4 linked regions of the Arabidopsis thaliana genome follow. The protein of the gene in region 1 interacts with the protein of each later gene in a pairwise test. Each region holds a gene or a part of one and is shown in the gene's direction. Other genes may lie near its edges. The genes, in order: DREB2C, SRO1, ABF3 and ABF4.

Region 1 (4,367 bases):
GTGAAAAATTCTTGTAGCTACTTCGGTGTTGGTAGATTCTGTGATGCTTAAAAATTGTTTCTTTGAAGGTGCTTTGATCCCAAGTATAGTTGAACATGTTGCTTTAAATCTTGTTAAGAGAAAAAATGGGACTTGCTTCTGTGCCCAATAGTTCACGAGCATGTTGCTAATCTTGCTTCTATGCCCAGGAAACGGAAGTCTCGTGGAACACGAGATGTAGCTGAGATTCTAAGGAAATGGAGAGAGTACAATGAGCAGACCGAGGCAGATTCTTGCATCGATGGTGGTGGTTCAAAACCAATCCGAAAGGCTCCTCCAAAACGTTCGAGGAAGGGTTGTATGAAAGGTAAAGGTGGACCTGAAAATGGGATTTGTGACTATACAGGAGTTAGACAGAGGACATGGGGTAAATGGGTTGCTGAGATCCGTGAGCCAGGCCGAGGTGCTAAGTTATGGCTCGGTACTTTCTCTAGTTCATATGAAGCTGCATTGGCTTATGATGAGGCTTCCAAAGCTATTTACGGTCAGTCTGCCCGACTCAATCTTCCACTGCTGCCACTGTGTCAGGCTCGGTTACTGCATTTTCTGATGAATCTGAAGTTTGTGCACGTGAGGATACAAATGCAAGATCTGGTTTTGGTCAGGTCAGACTAGAGGATTGTATTGATGAATATGTTCTCCTAGATAGTTCTAGTGTATTGTTAATCGTAGTTGACTATTGTGAGGTCTTAAGTTGTAGATTGAAAATGAGATAGCTCATATGGAGCTTTATTGAAATGCAAGAAAGTAAACAAAGGAAGATCTTTAGATTGTCACCAAGAGTGGTCTGAAACTCTCATAACACTCAATCCTCCTCCTCCTCATCACCACCACTACAAAATATTATATTCTCTATCTCTCAATCTATGAGGAGATGTATTCTATCAAGCATTTGAAATGATAAGAAACTGGCGATCATCCTCTACGTCACCATCACTCCAAAATTATCCTCTTTCTAGGTTTAAGTTTTGTAATGATCGCCTTTATTTGTTGAGATCTCTAACTTCTCGCATTTCCAAAATGTTAAGTCCAATAACTGCATTGGTTAAGTTGGGGCGTTACTAGTCGGCTTAAATCCAAATATGGATTTGATTCCATATGTATGTGACAGTTTCTTAACGTTCATATTACAATGAATGATGGATCCTTGACTAGACAAAGAGAAAATGGATTGTCACTTCGTAGGAAAAATAGAAATTCTCCACGAAGGCTGGTCTCCTTTATTTAACGACAAATTCACTCATAGTCTCATTCACAATTTGAACTTGTCTAACACAATGTGTTATATACTCGCGAAAAGAAGCATAATAGGCTCTTAAGGGTAATCCACGAAACCAAAACACATATAAAACATTAATATTTTTCTCTAAATTTATTCATATCAATAATAAAGTTTACAAAAAATATAAAACAATAATCCATACTTAGCCCATAGCTTCGTGTGGAAGAAGACTTGATTTTTGACTAGTCAACGAAAATGAGTAAATGACGTATTCAGCTATAGTAAAAGGGATCATAAGCGGAAATTACAAAGAAGCTTTGAGGGTAAAATAGTCAAAAAGCATAATCAGAAATAACTTAGGCCCAAAGCAAAAAGGAAAGGACTCTGGATCCAGCCGCAAATCAGAATCTGGTAAGTTCGAACGCCACGTCATCACCTAAATATCTGAAATATCTAATTAAGACTTGTCTATATATAAAGGCTTCTCCTTTCACAATCCCAAACCTTTCTCTTCTCTGCTAACGAGAAAACAAAAGCTATCGTCTTTGCTACTACTACTACTACTATTATTACATTGAATCCTTTGTGTTCTTCTTCTTCAGCTGCTACTTTGTTCGAGTGCTTTCTTACATGCCGTCGGAGATTGTTGACAGGTTTGTTTGTTACATTTTTCGATTTTTCTCCGTTTTTTTTCCTCTCTTCTGTATGTTTGCTAAATGTGATTGTTCATTGTTAGGGTTTAAGATTTTCTTTTTATCGATTTTTGTTGTTTTGTGTGTATATCCTCCAAGTTCCTTTGTTTGTGTAATAGGTGGAAGCTGAAAGGTTTTTCAATTTTAGGGTTTTTGGGGTTTTTTGTTGACTGAAATTTGTTAATTTGGGGCACAATTTGTCTCTTTTGGATTGAGTTCTGTGCGATTTGTGGATTCTAGTTCGTGTGTGGTTAAGAGACTTGGAAATTAGAGGATTTTTAGCTAAAATAATCGTTAAAGGTGGTACCTTTCCTGATACAGAAGTTAGATTATGGATTCTATGTTGAATCTTTAGGTGATTCTCTGTTTCTGAGTTTGCTCTGTTCTAGTTTCTTAATCTGTTCGTGATGGAGTTTCTTTCTTGCTCGCTGTGATGCTGCAGATTATGAAAACTTCTTCTTGTAGCTACTTCGGTGTAATTACGTTCAGGTGGTTAAAAATTGTTTCTTTGAAAGGTGCTTTGATCCGAAGTATAGTTGAACCTGTTGCTTGAAATTTTGTGAAGAGAGAAAATTGGAGTTCTCGAGCATGTTGCTAATCTTGCTTCTATCCCCTTTGATTCTACCAGGAAAAGGAAGTCTCGTGGAACACGAGATGTAGCTGAGATTCTAAGGCAATGGAGAGAGTACAATGAGCAGATTGAGGCAGAATCTTGTATCGATGGTGGTGGTCCAAAATCAATCCGAAAGCCTCCTCCAAAAGGTTCGAGGAAGGGTTGTATGAAAGGTAAAGGTGGACCTGAAAACGGGATTTGTGACTATAGAGGAGTTAGACAGAGGAGATGGGGTAAATGGGTTGCTGAGATCCGTGAGCCAGACGGAGGTGCTAGGTTGTGGCTCGGTACTTTCTCCAGTTCATATGAAGCTGCATTGGCTTATGACGAGGCGGCCAAAGCTATATATGGTCAGTCTGCCAGACTCAATCTTCCCGAGATCACAAATCGCTCTTCTTCGACTGCTGCCACTGCCACTGTGTCAGGCTCGGTTACTGCATTTTCTGATGAATCTGAAGTTTGTGCACGTGAGGATACAAATGCAAGTTCAGGTTTTGGTCAGGTGAAACTAGAGGATTGTAGCGATGAATATGTTCTCTTAGATAGTTCTCAGTGTATTAAAGAGGAGCTGAAAGGAAAAGAGGAAGTGAGGGAAGAACATAACTTGGCTGTTGGTTTTGGAATTGGACAGGACTCGAAAAGGGAGACTTTGGATGCTTGGTTGATGGGAAATGGCAATGAACAAGAACCATTGGAGTTTGGTGTGGATGAAACGTTTGATATTAATGAGCTATTGGGTATATTAAACGACAACAATGTGTCTGGTCAAGAGACAATGCAGTATCAAGTGGATAGACACCCAAATTTCAGTTACCAAACGCAGTTTCCAAATTCTAACTTGCTCGGGAGCCTCAACCCTATGGAGATTGCTCAACCAGGAGTTGATTATGGATGTCCTTATGTGCAGCCCAGTGATATGGAGAACTATGGTATTGATTTAGACCATCGCAGGTTCAATGATCTTGACATACAGGACTTGGATTTTGGAGGAGACAAAGATGTTCATGGATCTACATAAGATTTCAAATTTCGTTTGACTGGCCTAAGTTTGTGATTCTGCTCCGAGACGGTGTAGCTGTTACTAGCTAGAAGCTGCCCTTCTTTGAAGCTACTGATACTTTCTGATATTAATGGTTGTGAGACGTAGTACATGTAGTTAGGTAATGTAGGACAAGTTCAAATATGATTCCTTCTTTCTTTTTCTTGTGAATACATATGACATATGAAGAAGTTCAAACGTTGGGTTTAGAAAAAGTTTATAACATTCGGTACATATCAAAGTTTTGAACTTCGGATGCATATAAGCTATAAAGTTTTGATCTTTGAACTTTGGATACTCTCACATCTAATTTTCATCCTTAAGAATGGAGATGGAATAATGCGATGTTGCGTAGTGGTTTTATTGACTTGGCAAGTTTTGATTATTCAAGAAACTTGGCTTAGTTTAATGGAAATATCCAGTAGTGGAGTTTTTTGGTCTGCAGACTTTCCTCAGGTTGTCTGAGATTACATAAGCAATGAGGTATGAATAATAAAGTTATCATTAGAGAGTTATCTATCTGTATTTTCTACAAAAGGCAAATTGGGTATTTGAAAGTGCAAATGGGACATAGTTGTATATTATTTAAAAGGCTTTAACTATTCCATTCTGGTCTCCAAAATCGTTTTTCTTGCTCGAATCTTGAAGATCTTCTAAGCCTTTAGAAAAATGAAGAAATCAAGTTGGCAAACTGTTAATTAATTAAATCCAATGAATTGGTGGGTATTGCACCTCCACAAGTTCCCTTTGACAATGTGTCCT
Region 2 (6,074 bases), 1.9 Mb from region 1:
TCCAACAAGAGCCATGTAAGCAACCTGCTCAATCACAGAAATTAAACACACTAAAACTAAGTAACCAGGTTCTTTAATACACAGAGAATTCAACACTGTTTATCAAGAAATTCTGTAGAATTTAACATGAGTCAAGAATTAAGCAACAAGAGTTTCTTTGATATAGTCCTTCAAAAAAACACAGATCAAACATTTCAACGACAAAGTAATGGATGATGCTATACAAATGAACACAAAAATTGCAAATCAAGTATATCAAATTTGAGTGTCTTTCTATTTGAAAATACACATATCAATACATATGAACATAAAAACTCATACATTTGAAATCCCCATATACATAAACGAAACGAAAAGGCACGGATCGAGAGGCACAGTCGAAGCAATAAAGGAGATTAGAGTACCTGAATCAAAGCTGTGAAGACCGCGAAACAAACATAAAGGTCGATGATCTACAAAAACAGAGTTCAAACAAGAACATTCAGCGGATTTTTCAATTTCAATGATGATTCATAAAAGATCAGAACAAAATGATAATGGTGGACCTTGAGATTCGTTGGTGTAGCGGTATAAGCAGAGTGAAGAGAATGGAAGAGATCCTGAGCATCCTTACTAGTCGATTTCACCATTTCTTCAAAGACTGACCAACACAGGCACAGCAAGCAAACTTTTCTCCTGCTTCTTCTTTTTCTCTTCTTCACGAGTCTGGTGCTCTCGCTGAAATGACGTTGTTTCAGGATTTGCTGATTAAAACGGGCTGTCATTGTTTGGGGCCTTTGGGCCCAAGCCTTTTTAAGTCTGAACTTCGAAACGTCGCCGTTTTGTTATGAGATATTTTCTAAATTATGTTTTCCACAGTTTGTAAATGGACTACCACTCGAGCTTGTTCGAAAAATCTTTAGACGTTACTCGAGGGCTCAATATGAATTTGGCGATTAATTTAAAAATCGGAAATAAATATTTAGGGTTATTATAATGTTTTTAAAACATTTTAATCTAATATTGTTTTGAAAATGGTAGTAAACATAAAAATATATTTTTAAGACAACATTTTATGTTTTTAGTTAAAATTTTGTACATAAGTTGCTATAATTTATCATACTCTTAATGTACATGTTTGAATAAAAAAGAAGTTGTTTTATATTTAAAATCTTAAATAATCAAGATATACAAAATTAGGTACGAAATAATCGGATTAGATGGAAGGTAATTAGATAACTGATTTCTTCAAGAGATTAATCATTCAATAAGGCAGGCAGAGTGGATGTAACAATTAAAAACGGAATAATCGGAGATACACTGAAATTTTTAGAATAAACACAACTTTAACAAATTCAAAGAGAACGTTTGTAATTTCCTTGTACAGCGTAAGGAAAGTTTAGATAAAAGATGTATATAATATAATAATTGAATGCATACGTAAGAGATGAGTTTATTTTCAAATTTAACGTAACCGAACAAAATAAGTTTTCTTCTAAATTCCGTAACATATGTCCTAACCACTCAAACTAAAACAAAAATTAAATTTTTTTCTGGTCTGAAGTATTAAAACCACAATCTTGACAAAATTGAAAATTTATTTTTTATGATAACAATTTTATAAATTTATATTATTGGAGCGATATCTGACAAAACTAGTTTAAAACTGAAAAAATGTCTATGTAACTATAATAGAGTAGTTTACAACACATTTATTTACTTGTTTATACTTGATAGTGAAATTGGCCGTGTTTGACCGGGTCAGAATTGATAGGTGACGGTCCAGTTAGAATTGGGCTTTGACGTAAAAAAAAAAAATGTGTAACTTTGTTCTTTGCCTAAACGATTGGCTTTGTGTCCAAGAGTAGACCGCCGACTTAGATTTTTTCGCCGACGAGAGAATATATATAAATGGCTCGTCTTTTTCCAAACGATTTCTTCTTCTTCGTCGTCGCCGGTTTAGGGTTTCCGTTGCTGTAGCAATTTTCTCTCGCTTCTCTCTCCCCTTTTACAGTTTCTCTTATATTGCTCTTGCCTTGCGTCCAATCTCAAGAGTTCATAAGGTTAGTTTAAATTTGTCTTTATTGATATAATCTATGATTCTGTGAATTGGTGTGTTACATTTAGTCGAAATTGTTGTGAATTGTGTTGTTCTTGAGATGTTTTGGTGTCAATTGATGGTTTATTTGCATAATTTTATTAGGGGTTTCGCTGAAAAGCTGAAAAAGATTGCTATTACATAATTTGTTAAGAGTGAAAATGTCTCGTCTAAGCTTCTGTTGTTATGATTCATGTATTCACCTAAACAGAAGAGAGCTTGTCTCGACAGCTTTGATAGCCTGTTGTTATTTGTTGGTCTGTTTCTGTCTTTGAAGGTTAAATTTTTTGGCTTGTCTTACAGAGTTGACATTTGTGAACATCGAAGAAATACGGTGACGTTTCTTCTCTGATTACTTTTTGCCAACATGAATACTAATGTATTTATCAACAAGTGCTACAGCCTGGTAAGTCTCAAGCTTTCCGATGAGTTTACCGTTCTATCTAGTCCGGATTTGTATCTGCAGTTTTGCTTCTTTGTTCTGTCATGTTTGTTATAAGATCTTGCCTTCTGAGTAGCTGAACCTCTTTTTTCATCCTTGTGTAGGTTAGTTGTCACTTCTTTCCTTTCTTGTAATCTTTCTTATATTGTTTTTCCTATGATTTGTAAAGGGATTTTACTGGTATCGATTCGACAGTGTTGTTTCAATTGAAACATGATGCTTTGTAGGAAAACTCATGAATAACTGTTCATATAGTTGCTTTCTGTTGGTGTTTATAGCAGTGTCTTTTTGTTAAGTAGGTTATTGCATGATGAGAGTCTTTTCATTTTTATTTTATATACAGTCACTGCACTTTTTTCATATCTGATGCACACCTTTCTTCTTGCAGTTTTTTTCGAAGCTGTTGGTGAGTTCCCATCCTTAGTACTGCTAGACAGTTCGGTGTGTTAGTTGACTTTATATTCAAGGTTATAGGTTTAGTGTTGTTAGTAGAGAAAAATGGAAGCCAAAATCGTCAAGGTATCGGATAGTAGTTATAAAGATGGTCTTGGGAAGAAGAGAAAGCATCCAGGGAACTATACTCCTTATGATTCTGGAAGGTCATATGCAAAGCTGCAATGGGTGCTTTCACCCAACAGTTCCACCCAGAAGCTTGAGAAAAGGAGAAATTTGGATGGTGAAAACAAAGTTATTGTTTCTGAGAATCATGTTGAGAAGTCTTTGGTCAGATACTTCTCTTATTATAAGAAGACAGGAGTGCCAAAACGTGTAATGTTCCATGAGAATGGTGAATGGATTGATTTGCCTGATCATATTCTATGCGACATCAGGAATGATCTTGAAGCAAAGAGAGCTACAATTGAGTTCAATTGGTGCGGTCGCCATTTTCTCCTGGATTTCTTGCACATGTATCGACTAGACTTGGAAACAGGTGTAAAAACCCAGCTTGCTTGGATTGATATTGCTGGCAAATGCTTTTTCCCTGAAACTTTTGACACCCTCGAAAGGGACGGCTGCCATCATATCCGTGGGGAAGATCCGGAACAACATGATCAACGTGAGATCAAGCTGCACATTGAAATTGATGTAAATAGTGGGGAGTTACCGAGGCTGAATTTGAATGTGGTCACTGACGAGTCTGGTGACAATATGGATGATTTTCAAGCTGTTCAGAGATCCTCAAATGGGCCAAATGACGAGGCATCAGAGGATAGCTGCAGCCGTGAGCTTGATGATGCTGTTGAGAAATGGGACAAAACAGAAACTGATCGGTTCTCTGGTGTCAAGCCTGCTGAGGAGGAGCTTGATAAAGATGCTGTCAAACAAATGTTTGCTTTGGGTGCTGCCACTCTAGGGCATGTAGAGTCGCTTGATGTGTATCAGTTTTCAAGCGAGATTGCAAAGGCTCGTCTATCTCTTTTCCAGAAGCAAGCTGACATCACTAAGAAACACCGAGGAGATGCAAACATTAGATATGCATGGGTTCCTGCGAAGAAGGAAGTGTTATCTGCCGTGATGATGCATGGACTTGGAGTGGGTGGAGCATTCATTAAAAAGTCTATGTATGGTGTTGGGGTTCACGCTGCAAACTGCCCTTATTTCAGGTTTTTATTCGCCCTCTATGCCAGTTCCTCTCTCATTTAGCCTGCCTTATGCTATTTTTGTTTCACTTTATAGTTCATTTGTTTTATGGTTTTATCTAAGCACATGTGAAAGATATTGTTTACAGTGCTAGATACTGTGATATTGACGATAATGGTGTGCGGCACATGGTTTTGTGCCGCGTAATAATGGGGAATATGGAGCCTCTTCGTGGTGATAACACGCAGTACTTTACTGGTGGAGAAGAGTATGATAATGGGGTTGATGATGTTGAGAGTCCAAAGCATTACCTTATCTGGAACATGAATATGAACACTCACATTTACCCAGAATTTGTAGTTAGCTTCAAGCTGTCTATCCCCAATGCTGAAGGTGATTACCATTTGTTATTTCTCCTGTAATTTCCATAAAAATCAACTGATGACGCATTGAATGGGAGACAGCATATAGATCTTACTGAAGATCAGCTATTTGGATCCTGAAATCTTCCTCTATAAGTTAGAAAAGGATCCACATCACCTTGTGACCTCTGGGGGTGGTAAACATACTTCATCATCCCAAGGGTCCAGTGAGATATCCATGGCTAATATATATGGGTATTTCGATGATCACATTTGTTTTCTGTAGTATTCGAAACGGGATGACATGTTTTGTTTGTGCAGGGAATATTCTTCCTACTACTCAGAGTAGGCACGAGAGTTCGGGACTCACCTTGGAAGGACCCAAAGGTTCTCCCTCAAATGTAAGTTGAATTGTACCTGATCAGATTCTCATTTTCAAGCAGTCATTGTTAATATTTGATATGGACACAAACGAGTAATGTTGCTTGTTTGTATGAAGCAGGAGCCAGGAAGGGTATCAAATGGAGGTTCAGGGAGCGAAAAGAATAGCTCCAGCAGTAGAAGGCCCAGATCTCCTATAATGCCTTTCCCTCTGCTGTTCAAAGCAATCTCGAGCAAAATTGCTCGTAAAGACATGGATTTGATAATTGCTGGTTACCAGGAACTCAGGGTAAATAATATAAACCATGTCTTTTACCAATAGTCAAGGTTATCATATTGTATTAACATAATCGGTGTGCTCTTGCAGGAGAAGAAGGTGTCGAGAAAGGAATTTTATAAGACGCTGAGTATGATTGTAGGAGATGATGATCTGCTGATATCTACAATAACAGGCCTTCAAAGGAGTTTGGGTTAGATTAATGTGTCGACTTCTCTTTGCTGTCGTGAAACCTTAATAGTTTGGATTACGACAAACGTGACTTGATCTTTAGAAACTTAGTAGTAGTACTGTTATATTTACTCTTTTGGTGAAACTAGTCTCCATTATCCTGTTTTTCTTTACTTGGAATCAAAGAGTCTTTTATTGATCAACAGCCTTGGTTCTTTGTGAGGTTTAATTCATCAGCTGGAAGTTATTCAACAGCCTTAGTTTTAAAAAGCGCGCTAATGGCGTGCCATGGCGCATAGCGCACCGATGCTCTAAGAATAGGGCAACAAGACGTGGAGGCGAGGCGACATCTATAATGCGCACGCCATACGTGAGCCTTGGCCGATGCACAAGGTGGCAAAGCGATCGCCTCTTGTGTTCAGGCGAAAACTCTTCGAAACCAACAACAGAATTCTGTGATTTTAGGGTTTGCACGAAGAAATGACTAGGAGGAATAGGATAAACCATTTTCTAAACCTAGCTGGTTAATACATGATTCAATTTAGCTGGTCAATACCTAATCCACGACTAGAAAGTTTAACCATGAGTTATAATTAGCTTATCAAACCAAATCAATCCTAGGTTTATCTTAAACTAAAACGGATTTGACCCTTACCTCTTAACCCACGACATTTTAACCAGTTAGAAGATGTAAAATCCCTAATTTTTCTAAATAGAACACCATAGACGATATAAGCTTGAAGGCTAAAACCATATGCAGAGAATCTGTTAATAGAACACCAC
Region 3 (5,015 bases), on another chromosome or scaffold:
AGGTCTTCTAGACACATAGAAAGTAATAAATATATATGGGCATGACACTAAGGTTTCATTCTTTTTCTTTATTGTGGTTTAGGTTTTTGATCTAATTTTGTTATTGTAAGAATTATTTTGTAATTTTGTTATTATCTTACCATGGAATTAAGAAAAAGTAAATTTCTTCAAACTTACCCTGTTGTTGCAACTTACATATTAAACTCTCTCTTTTTTGTTAAAAAAAGGTTATATATCTTTTAACCTTCTAGGATTTTAGCCTAGCTGAAAAAAAGTTACACATTAAACTTGTTTTTGTTAACAACGTTTTAGCATTTCGGTTGTGTGTTGTTTCTTCCGGTTGTTATAGTTTCGTACTTTCGTTGGTTTTGAGTTTTGGATTCTTGAAAGGTGGTTATAATTTATACATTTTGTTTCTACACGACCTTAAAGAAGTAACTTCAATTAATTAAATCTAATTCGGGAAAGAGCACGTCTCAAAAGAGTCGTCGAGTCCCATGTGAATTCTATATGATAACATTAAACAAAATCACGGTTCCATATTTGTTTAATACTAGTATGTATTGCAGAGTAGACTTTCCTAATCCAGTAGATTCTTAAAGAAAAAATAATATAAAAAGATTGAAAATAGAAATAAAAGATGGGAGACACGAAGGGTCACTTGTATTGTACCGAGTCCAAATGTAAAGAAGTCTCAATAATGGTGTAATAAAATAAAGAAGTTGAAGACAAGATCACAATCACCATGTGAAGATCAACACACAAGATCATAATTTTATTGTATGTTTGCTTCATTTCAACTTTTTTAAATATTGTTAAGAGGGCAGGCATTGAGTGCGCCACGTGGCAAATGACCATCCCTTTGTAGGTGCAGCAAACGTGATAAAGATTCCGGACTGTTCACCCATTCCCTTCTTCCATTTGTTTCTTATTTTTTCTTACAAATCTTATCGTATCATAATTTTTTTTCCATAATGCGCTCCCTTGAATGGAATAACGTTGGTTATTTTGTTTCCAACCAAATTTTCATACCATTCGATCAAATAGGTGCATCAACTTACAAGAAATGAAAGTGTGATCCCTATTTTATTAGGTAGCTAAGTAAGTGTTAGTGAACACTACGTTAGATTGTTACTCAAATAACGGATCAACGAATCTCGTATTCATTACTATACTGCTAATGAATGCATCAATTTTAATTTTTATTGGTTATCTATCCTTAAAAAAAAGTTATAAGAATATTTTGATAATTTGTTCCAAGATGTAGTACTAGTAGTAGTACTTGGTCTCGTAAACGACGACGCCGTTTAGGAAATCAAACGGCCAAAAATGCTTCCACTTTGCGAAATTTTATTGGTGGGAAACGCAAATGTATCGATAATGATTTAAAGAAAAAGCGGCGTTTCTAATTGGACCACGTTGCCCAATCTCTACGGCTCACGCACGATCTGACGTCAAATTGGCATAATACTATAATAACCTTATCGAGAATAAAATAATAGTCGCATCCAAACAAAAGAAACCAACCCTTTTATATCACGACGAGTGTCACGCCATGGACACTTGTCCATCTCTCTCGCTCTGACCCCTTTCAGGTATCTTTTATTTCTCAAAGAGGAATTATTGATTTTCCATTTCCAAAGAAAAAAAATAAATTCGAAGGTCAGGAAAATTAACAAAAAACTTCCTTTTTTTTTTTGTTAGTTTGTGTGACTGAGCTGCTTCATTTTTTTTCTTTCTTTTTTTTTTTGGTTTGATGAATCGATTTTTGTTGTCTATTACTGATTGGTTTTCTTGTTCAGATTCACTGATTCGAAGAGAATCATGATTTTTTTTTCCCGCTGAATAATAAGCATATGATTGGGTGTTTTGGAGATTTGTTTACTGATTAAAAGGAGATTCCTTTCCATTTTCACCATTTGCTCTGTTTGACTTCATTGTGCTTATATTTCATTTAGATCTTTTGTTTGGGTTTAGCTTTGGAACTGATAAAAATCTGATTTTGTCTCACGGCTTTGGATTTGGTTCTTAAATTTTGGTACTTTAAAACTGGATAAAGATCAGTGCTTTTTTAGATTCTTCGTTTGTTGATGAATTTATGGATGTATGTATAATTAAACCATAATCTCTCTGCTTGTTTGTTTTCTTATAGGTAAATATCCAGAAGCTTGATCCTCCTAGTTGTACGAAAGCTTGAGTAATGGGGTCTAGATTAAACTTCAAGAGCTTTGTTGATGGTGTGAGTGAGCAGCAGCCAACGGTGGGGACTAGTCTTCCATTGACTAGGCAGAACTCTGTGTTCTCGTTAACCTTTGATGAGTTTCAGAACTCATGGGGTGGTGGAATTGGGAAAGATTTTGGGTCTATGAACATGGATGAGCTCTTGAAGAACATTTGGACTGCAGAGGAAAGTCATTCAATGATGGGAAACAATACCAGTTACACCAACATCAGCAATGGTAATAGTGGAAACACTGTTATTAACGGCGGTGGTAACAACATTGGTGGGTTAGCTGTTGGTGTGGGAGGAGAAAGTGGTGGTTTTTTCACTGGTGGGAGTTTGCAGAGACAAGGTTCACTTACCTTGCCTCGGACGATTAGTCAGAAAAGGGTTGATGATGTCTGGAAGGAGCTGATGAAGGAGGATGACATTGGAAATGGTGTTGTTAATGGTGGGACAAGCGGAATTCCGCAGAGGCAACAAACGCTGGGAGAGATGACTTTGGAGGAGTTTTTGGTCAGGGCTGGTGTGGTTAGGGAAGAACCTCAACCGGTGGAGAGTGTAACTAACTTCAATGGCGGATTCTATGGATTTGGCAGTAATGGAGGTCTTGGGACAGCTAGTAATGGGTTTGTTGCAAACCAACCTCAAGATTTGTCAGGAAATGGAGTAGCGGTGAGACAGGATCTGCTGACTGCTCAAACTCAGCCACTACAGATGCAGCAGCCACAGATGGTGCAGCAGCCACAGATGGTGCAGCAGCCGCAACAACTGATACAGACGCAGGAGAGGCCTTTTCCCAAACAGACCACTATAGCATTTTCCAACACTGTTGATGTGGTTAACCGTTCTCAACCTGCAACACAGGTGACTAAAGAACCTAAGCTACTACATTTTGTAGGAAATACAATCATCTGAAAAATATTAGACGTAGCCTTCATGTTTTAAGATAAGCTGGTTTTGGATATGCATGTATGTTTCAGTTATCTGAGCATGACTTGTTTTTACTTTTTTCGCAGTGCCAGGAAGTGAAGCCTTCAATACTTGGAATTCATAACCATCCTATGAACAACAATCTACTGCAAGCTGTCGATTTTAAAACAGGAGTAACGGTTGCAGCAGTATCTCCTGGAAGCCAGATGTCACCTGATCTGACTCCAAAGAGCGCCCTGGATGCATCTTTGTCCCCTGTTCCTTACATGTTTGGGCGAGTGAGAAAAACAGGTGCAGTTCTGGAGAAAGTGATTGAGAGAAGGCAAAAAAGGATGATAAAGAATAGGGAATCAGCTGCAAGATCCCGCGCTCGCAAGCAAGTGAGTGTTTGTTTAAATTTTGGAGATTAAAGAAACCTTAAAACTGTGACCATGTTATTTACTTTTTCACTTTCTTGCTTGACAGGCTTATACGATGGAACTGGAAGCAGAAATTGCGCAACTCAAAGAATTGAATGAAGAGTTGCAGAAGAAACAAGTGTGTCTCGCTTCTTCCCTATCACAATTAAGAATCTCGAGATTTTCATATTTTCTTGAGGTTGTATTCACTGACCAAATGTTTCATGCAGGTTGAAATCATGGAAAAGCAGAAAAATCAGGTACTGTCTTGATTTGAATATCCTCTATGGTTGTTGGCTAGGCTTTTAACTCTCACTCATAATGAATTACACTTTTGGACAGTATTCTAAGCTTTTGAGTAGAATAGTGTAAGCTATACCATGAAGTGAGACATATCATCACATTTTTGATTTCCCACTCTGCATAAAGTATTTAAGATTTGTGAATATGTTGCAATGCCAATTTGGATATTTCATGAGACTAATCTGACGAGCATGGATTTAACGGAAGTTGGCTCATTTGTTGTTGCAGCTTCTGGAGCCTCTGCGCCAGCCATGGGGAATGGGATGCAAAAGGCAATGCTTGCGAAGGACATTGACGGGTCCCTGGTAGAGCTTATAATGGCGTCTAAGGAACCCAACAAAGCGCCGAAGTTATAGAACAACTCAGAAGATAGAAAGCTAGCTTTGTACGTAGTTTAGGCAGGTTCTGTGGGTGATTGTAAATCTTGAAGTGTGGCGGATTTGACAGAGATAGATAAACACATATCTGTTCTATTTTCCTAAATCTTTTGGTTTTATCTTCCTGATGTAATGGATCTTTATCATTTGTCTTGAACATCTTTGTGACTTAACCAGAGTGAATTTATCTTGTATCTTGTCTGCAATTTTTTCTTTAGCTCATTTGGGCCCAAGTCAACACCTTTATTATAGAAGAGAGTAAACATCAAGTTTAGCATCAACATCTGGTAATCCAACTGGGCGTACAAAATTAGATACACATACTAAATTGGCAAAATTCTTGCAGATAGCATCCCGCTTCAGGATAAGGTGCATCAACGTTGAACAGATGATACTTGTGAAAAGTCTCTGGAGTTGAGGTGGTTTGATACCATCGGACCGTTATACTTCGGTTTAAGATCAGTAATGAGACATCTTCTAACTGTGTTTCTTGAACAAGATGCTTTCAAACGGTTACTGCCTTGGATACTCATGCACAAGCCCTTCTGAAACACTCCTTGCTCTAGCATGTCCGAACAGCTTGCTAACAATAGCCAGGGAAAATTTGGTAACAGTTGCGAGCCCCAAACTTGTAATCACGTTTCCATCTATAACAACTTCGGCTCCTTCGATCATTTGTTGATTCATAGGCTCGTCTGACTCTGAAGGATACACAGTCGTTCTCTTCTCCTAAAATAGGATTCCAATTGTTTATGGCGTTTGTCCATGTATATGACAAAGAAA
Region 4 (5,517 bases), on another chromosome or scaffold:
CATAGCCATGTAATCTCTTTGCATTTTAGTAGAATACCCTGTAACAAGAAAAAATAATTATAGATAAAAACAACAACAAATAATCTTAACAAAACAAATGTTGATGCTTCAACGATTCGTCCTTTTTTAACACATTTTCTTGATTATATTTTGTGGCTAGAGGCCCTAGTCACAAATGCCCTCACCAACCCTTCAATCATTGAATATATACAAGCACAACCACATGCGATCATTTGGGATCTGAAATATTAATACAAACTAAGATCTCAATCATAAAAAAATAGAATGACTACAAATCTATTAGTTAATTAGGACAATTATTAAACATTTTTTCTATTCTCTATTTTATGTTTGAATCTTACTTTTTGCTAAAAAAATATTGCTCCATTGATATTTATAGTTTACTATAGTCTTGGTGATTTGTATGGATTTGTAAAAAGAGGTCAAGCGTTGATGGAGATGAACTCTACTTCTCACATCACTCGAGTCTTTTTAGATTAGTTTTTTTTTGATAAAAAGGAAACAAAGCCTAATTATGAATTAGCAAATACAACTACATCTCCATAGTCGTCCCTTGAATCTTGGTCGAACTCTGTAGCATCAAGGTTGAAATTAAACCTAAATGACAATCGTGTGTACGTGTATAAATATACATATAAGTGATGATTACATAAACTCATAGTCATATATGGGATCTATTATGGTTTTATGCTCACTCTATACGTCGGCCTAACGTGGCAAAAGTGGATATTTCTTTGAATATAAAATAGAAAAACAAAAAGCAAATAAGCAAACATTGCAATAATACCAAAAGAGGAATGAAAACATATTTCTGTATTTGGAAGTAATGATCTTAGACTCCACGCGACTGTGTTCTTTATTGTTTTGTTTCGAAGAGCGGTGTGATATTCTTATTGGCTTGCAACCAAAATGGGCTCCCAAAAAGAAAGCAAGCACCACCACTTCTTCTATCTGATGAGGGAACACTTTTAACATAAAAGTCACACAACCATAACATATATTCAAATTTCGGGTGATAACATAATGATAAAAATAGCACAACCCAATTAACTACATGTTTTGGTCATATTTTATTCATAGTTTATAGTTTTTTCTTTTTTTTTGGTAGGAGTAAAGAACACTGTCGCGTGGAGTCTAAGATCATTACTTCCAAATACAGAAATTTGGTTTCATTCCTCATTTGGTATTATTACAATGTTTGCTTATTTGCTTTTTTTCCTACTTTTTTTTTATAACATCTAGTTTATAGTTTTTGTTATATATTCAATCTATTTAGTGTCTAAACAATACTGATGATATCAAATGATTAAAAGGCTTTTGAACTGTAAAAATGACAAACAAATATCTATGATCTATGTCATAATTGAAAAAAAAAAGTTACCAATAAAGATTTTTTTTTATATAGGTAGTATTTCTTGGCTAATATGGACATGTATATAATTATATTTAGTCTTATCTATGTATGAAATTGGTTTGGATGTTGAAAAATGAATCATCCTTATCGTCAACCATTTTGGAAAGAGACAAATCTAGATTTTGATTTCTTTTTTTTTACAAATTAAAGATTTTATAATATATCACAATATTGTTGAAGATTACAATTGTGGCATATGTCAATTTGAAGATCAATTTGAATTTTTGATATACATCTAAAATAAGAAAACTAAAAGAACATAAGAAGTAATATATTTTTAAAAAATTGACCTAAAAACAAAGAATAATCATTATTATGATTTAACTCCAATGAGAAAACAATTCCAAGCACGATCTCCAACCACTCGAATCTTCACTGTCGGAAACAAACGGCCAATGTTTTACCACGTCGCATTCTTAATTGGATGTAAGTCTTTACAAGCACTTAAAACATTAAACTCTTTTTTCTCATTCGTCCACGTTTCTTTTTAAATTAATACTGTTAACAGATAATTATTCACAAAAAAATAATATCTGAAGAACAAAAAAAAAGGTTTCAGGGCCTTAAAATGGCTGCTCGTGTCGAGGCGGCAGCAACACACTTGTCGTCTCTCCCTGTAGCTTCTCTGGAGTTTTCGCAGTCACGAATCTTGTTTTGAAGAAATTAATTTGGTAAAACATATTTTCGAGCTCCTTTCTCTTTTATTATCCGTTTTCTGACTTCTGGATCTGTCTTTGTCGGATCATCCAATTTTTTTGTTGTCTTTCCTCTGTTTCGTTTATGAATCATGATGATGTACATGTTGTAACTGAAGTAACTTTTGGTTATCAAATTAGAGTTAAAGAGAGAATTTTTACGAGATATTTGTTATAAATTTATCGATTTGATTCTTGTTGCTATTAGGGTTTTGTCTATTTGATTCGATCGGGTTTTTTTTAAGAGAAATGGGTTGTGGAATCTGGAATAGATCCTTCTCATGCTTGTTGGGTTTTGCTGATTTTCTCGTTTTTGGTTTTATGAGTAAACTCTGTATCTGGTGTGAATTCGTTTTCCATCAAAAAAAGTCATCAAATTACGTTTTTTTATAAACATTATCCAAAGATCTGACCTTTATTGATTGACTTTACTGTGCTTTTACATTTGTTCGCACGCATTTATGTGGTTTGTCCAGTTTCACTTTAGTATTCTTTCTCTTATATGGATGTGAACATGCATTAGTGACACATAGTTCACTCCTTTTTATTTTCCTCGGAAGTTCTCTTTTTCATGGATTCTTAGCATTATGTAATATACACTCTAACTGCTTTACTTTGATTTTAGAACAAGGGTTTTAGGGCTTGGATGCTTTGTTTTCATTGAAAAAGAAGTAGAAGGAGTGTATACAAGGATTATGGGAACTCACATCAATTTCAACAACTTAGGAGGTGGTGGTCATCCTGGAGGGGAAGGGAGTAGTAACCAGATGAAGCCAACGGGTAGTGTCATGCCCTTGGCTAGGCAGTCCTCGGTCTACTCCCTTACCTTTGATGAGTTACAGAACACACTAGGTGGACCGGGAAAAGATTTCGGGTCGATGAACATGGATGAACTCCTGAAGAGCATATGGACTGCTGAGGAAGCTCAGGCCATGGCCATGACTTCTGCGCCAGCTGCTACAGCGGTAGCGCAACCTGGTGCTGGTATCCCACCCCCAGGTGGGAATCTCCAGAGGCAAGGTTCGTTGACGTTGCCTAGAACAATTAGTCAGAAGACTGTTGATGAGGTGTGGAAATGTTTGATCACCAAGGATGGTAATATGGAAGGTAGCAGCGGAGGCGGTGGTGAGTCGAATGTGCCTCCTGGAAGGCAACAGACTTTAGGGGAAATGACACTTGAAGAATTTCTGTTCCGTGCTGGGGTTGTAAGAGAAGATAACTGTGTTCAACAGATGGGTCAGGTCAACGGAAACAATAACAATGGGTTTTATGGTAACAGCACTGCTGCTGGCGGCTTAGGTTTTGGATTTGGTCAGCCAAATCAAAACAGCATAACATTCAATGGTACTAATGATTCTATGATCTTGAATCAGCCACCTGGTTTAGGGCTCAAAATGGGTGGAACAATGCAGCAGCAACAACAACAACAGCAGTTGCTTCAGCAGCAACAACAGCAGATGCAGCAGCTGAATCAGCCTCATCCACAGCAGCGGCTGCCTCAAACCATTTTTCCTAAACAAGCAAACGTAGCATTTTCTGCGCCTGTGAATATAACCAACAAGGGTTTTGCTGGGGCTGCAAATAATTCTATCAACAATAATAATGGATTAGCTAGTTACGGAGGAACCGGGGTCACTGTTGCAGCAACTTCTCCAGGAACAAGCAGCGCAGAAAATAATTCTTTATCACCAGTTCCGTATGTGCTTAATCGAGGACGAAGAAGCAATACAGGTCTAGAGAAGGTTATCGAGAGGAGGCAAAGGAGAATGATCAAGAATCGGGAATCAGCTGCTAGATCAAGAGCTCGAAAGCAGGTGAATATAAATCTAACTAAACTTATCTAGTCCCTTTTGTTTGGTTTGACTATTATGGTCTTATATTTTGCAAGACTGCATTAAACAGAAACATAAAACCAGCAAAGATATCTTCTATCCCGAACCACTTCTTGTATTATGAAAGATGCTTTATCTTCCATGTTTTTTAACTATCCACTAATTACAGGCTTATACATTGGAACTGGAAGCCGAAATTGAAAAGCTCAAGAAAACGAATCAAGAACTGCAGAAAAAACAGGTTTCTTTCTGTTTACAACCTCTCTGTGTGTTTTCTGTTTTCCCCTATCAGACTTTTAGAACTTGGCTCTGATCCTAGCTTCCCCTGTATTGCAGGCTGAAATGGTGGAAATGCAGAAGAATGAGGTAATTGTTTAAGAACTTTTCTTTTCATTGAGTTCATTCTGAAACCCTTGACCATACTTGATTAGGACCAACATCAGCAGCAAAAGACTAAACTTAAGTTGTAGCTCTGATAGTGTATGTTGGTCCTTATCAAGTATGTCCCCAACTGAAGCTCAAACCTGAGATAGCTTTCGAACATTTCGTGGTCTTGCTTCGTTTTGAATAGCCTTTTTGATTGTGTTGTTCACTAGTATTCTTTTCAAAATTAGCAGCTGAAAGAAACGTCGAAGCGACCGTGGGGCAGCAAAAGGCAATGCTTGAGAAGGACATTAACCGGACCATGGTGAAGGATGAAGCAACAAGAACGGATGAACCAGACTCCTAGCTTGGGATTAATGTAATAGGATAGTGCTACCTGTACAGGAGATTAAGAGAAATTGAGTGAAAGATCTAGGTTACAGAGTAGGAGAGAGTTTTCATTATGAATAAATGACATTTTGTGCCCTGACCTTTGTTAGTTTAGGTTTAGATTATCCTCTGTTATTGACTTATTGTGCTTTCTGGTTGTTAGGGTTTCTAAAAGACATAGTTGTTTATATATATGTCTGACTTTGTATTCCGGATTTGGTTCTCTTGTGTCATTAACTTGGGTTTAGCCATTATTACTTAAGAGTGGCAACGAAATCATTCTTGACTCTGGTTGGAAAACATATGTCATCTTTCAAAACTGCAATTAGAAAACAGTTAGGATGATCCTAAGTGACAAATTTCTAGAAAAAATGTGACTAATTTGTCTCTGCTCACTCAAAAAGAGAGACCATTTGGTGGAGAGTGAGGGGAGCCAGTCTCAAGCAGAAAACTCCGGCTACAATGCGACCTTGAAGTAGTACTAGAGGAAGAAGCCAAGCCACGGATGTCTCCACTTTGGAACCCTGAGTCACCTCTCAGTGACCGTCCTTTGTTCTCTTCAACTGCCATTGCAAGCCCGAGATGCAACGGATCACAGCTTTCGTACAACAGCCTCAGAACTTGCTTGATTGATGGCCTAGCCACGCCTTCTTTCTCTGTGCACCATCTTACAACTGCCACTACTGTTTCAAGCTGTTCTCCATCTATGCAGTCTTTGATTCTCGGATCCACCAGATCTATGCGTCTTGATTCTGATACCAGCAAAGGCTGAGACAGTTCTACCAGGTTCCTACCTTCATCA

What was found.
Region 2: the proteins of DREB2C (region 1) and SRO1 interact in a two-hybrid assay, tested with the Arabidopsis thaliana proteins (one study listed by BioGRID).
Region 3: the proteins of DREB2C (region 1) and ABF3 interact in a two-hybrid assay, tested with the Arabidopsis thaliana proteins (one study listed by BioGRID).
Region 4: the proteins of DREB2C (region 1) and ABF4 interact in a two-hybrid assay, tested with the Arabidopsis thaliana proteins (one study listed by BioGRID).

The regions. Positions count from the first base shown.
Region 1 is NC_003071.7:16,847,882-16,852,248, reverse strand, and holds DREB2C (Integrase-type DNA-binding superfamily protein), read left to right. Parts: upstream 1-1,761; 5' UTR 1,762-1,891; coding exon of another isoform or gene 1,892-1,914; exon of another isoform or gene 1,915-2,395; 5' UTR 2,396-2,398; coding exon 2,399-2,442; exon of another isoform or gene 2,443-2,581; coding exon 2,582-3,584; 3' UTR 3,585-3,860; downstream 3,861-4,367. Other genes in the region: AT2G40350 (Integrase-type DNA-binding superfamily protein), read left to right, coding at 189-654. UniProt on the Arabidopsis thaliana protein: Transcriptional activator that binds specifically to the DNA sequence 5'-[AG]CCGAC-3'. Binding to the C-repeat/DRE element mediates high salinity- and abscisic acid-inducible transcription.
Region 2 is NC_003071.7:14,916,142-14,922,215, reverse strand, and holds SRO1 (uncharacterized protein), read left to right. Parts: upstream 1-1,733; 5' UTR 1,734-2,042; intron 2,043-2,380; 5' UTR 2,381-2,483; exon of another isoform or gene 2,484-2,623; intron 2,624-2,907; 5' UTR 2,908-3,017; coding exon 3,018-4,123; intron 4,124-4,248; coding exon 4,249-4,493; coding exon of another isoform or gene 4,494-4,522; exon of another isoform or gene 4,523-4,783; coding exon 4,784-4,863; intron 4,864-4,964; coding exon 4,965-5,132; intron 5,133-5,210; coding exon 5,211-5,318; 3' UTR 5,319-5,526; downstream 5,527-6,074. Other genes in the region: DAD2 (Defender against death (DAD family) protein), read right to left, coding at 1-27, 405-452, 546-629. UniProt on the Arabidopsis thaliana protein: Probable inactive ADP-ribosyltransferase that functions with RCD1 to regulate oxidative stress, hormonal and developmental responses. May regulate some stress-responsive genes. Seems to play a smaller developmental role than R.
Region 3 is NC_003075.7:16,293,808-16,298,822, forward strand, and holds ABF3 (abscisic acid responsive elements-binding factor 3), read left to right. Parts: upstream 1-1,526; 5' UTR 1,527-2,200; coding exon 2,201-3,088; intron 3,089-3,240; coding exon 3,241-3,534; intron 3,535-3,619; coding exon 3,620-3,691; coding exon of another isoform or gene 3,692-3,782; coding exon 3,783-3,812; intron 3,813-4,083; coding exon 4,084-4,164; 3' UTR 4,165-4,478; downstream 4,479-5,015. Other genes in the region: DJ1C (Class I glutamine amidotransferase-like superfamily protein), read right to left, coding at 4,746-4,961. UniProt on the Arabidopsis thaliana protein: Binds to the ABA-responsive element (ABRE). Mediates stress-responsive ABA signaling.
Region 4 is NC_003074.8:6,685,131-6,690,647, forward strand, and holds ABF4 (ABRE binding factor 4), read left to right. Parts: upstream 1-1,911; 5' UTR 1,912-2,106; exon of another isoform or gene 2,107-2,755; 5' UTR 2,756-2,825; coding exon 2,826-3,944; intron 3,945-4,032; coding exon of another isoform or gene 4,033-4,077; intron 4,078-4,131; coding exon 4,132-4,203; intron 4,204-4,298; coding exon 4,299-4,328; coding exon of another isoform or gene 4,329-4,340; exon of another isoform or gene 4,341-4,576; coding exon 4,577-4,654; 3' UTR 4,655-4,993; downstream 4,994-5,517. Other genes in the region: AT3G19300 (Protein kinase superfamily protein), read right to left, coding at 5,112-5,517. UniProt on the Arabidopsis thaliana protein: Functions as a transcriptional activator in the ABA-inducible expression of LTI65/RD29B (AC Q04980). Binds specifically to the ABA-responsive element (ABRE) of the LTI65/RD29B (AC Q04980) gene promoter.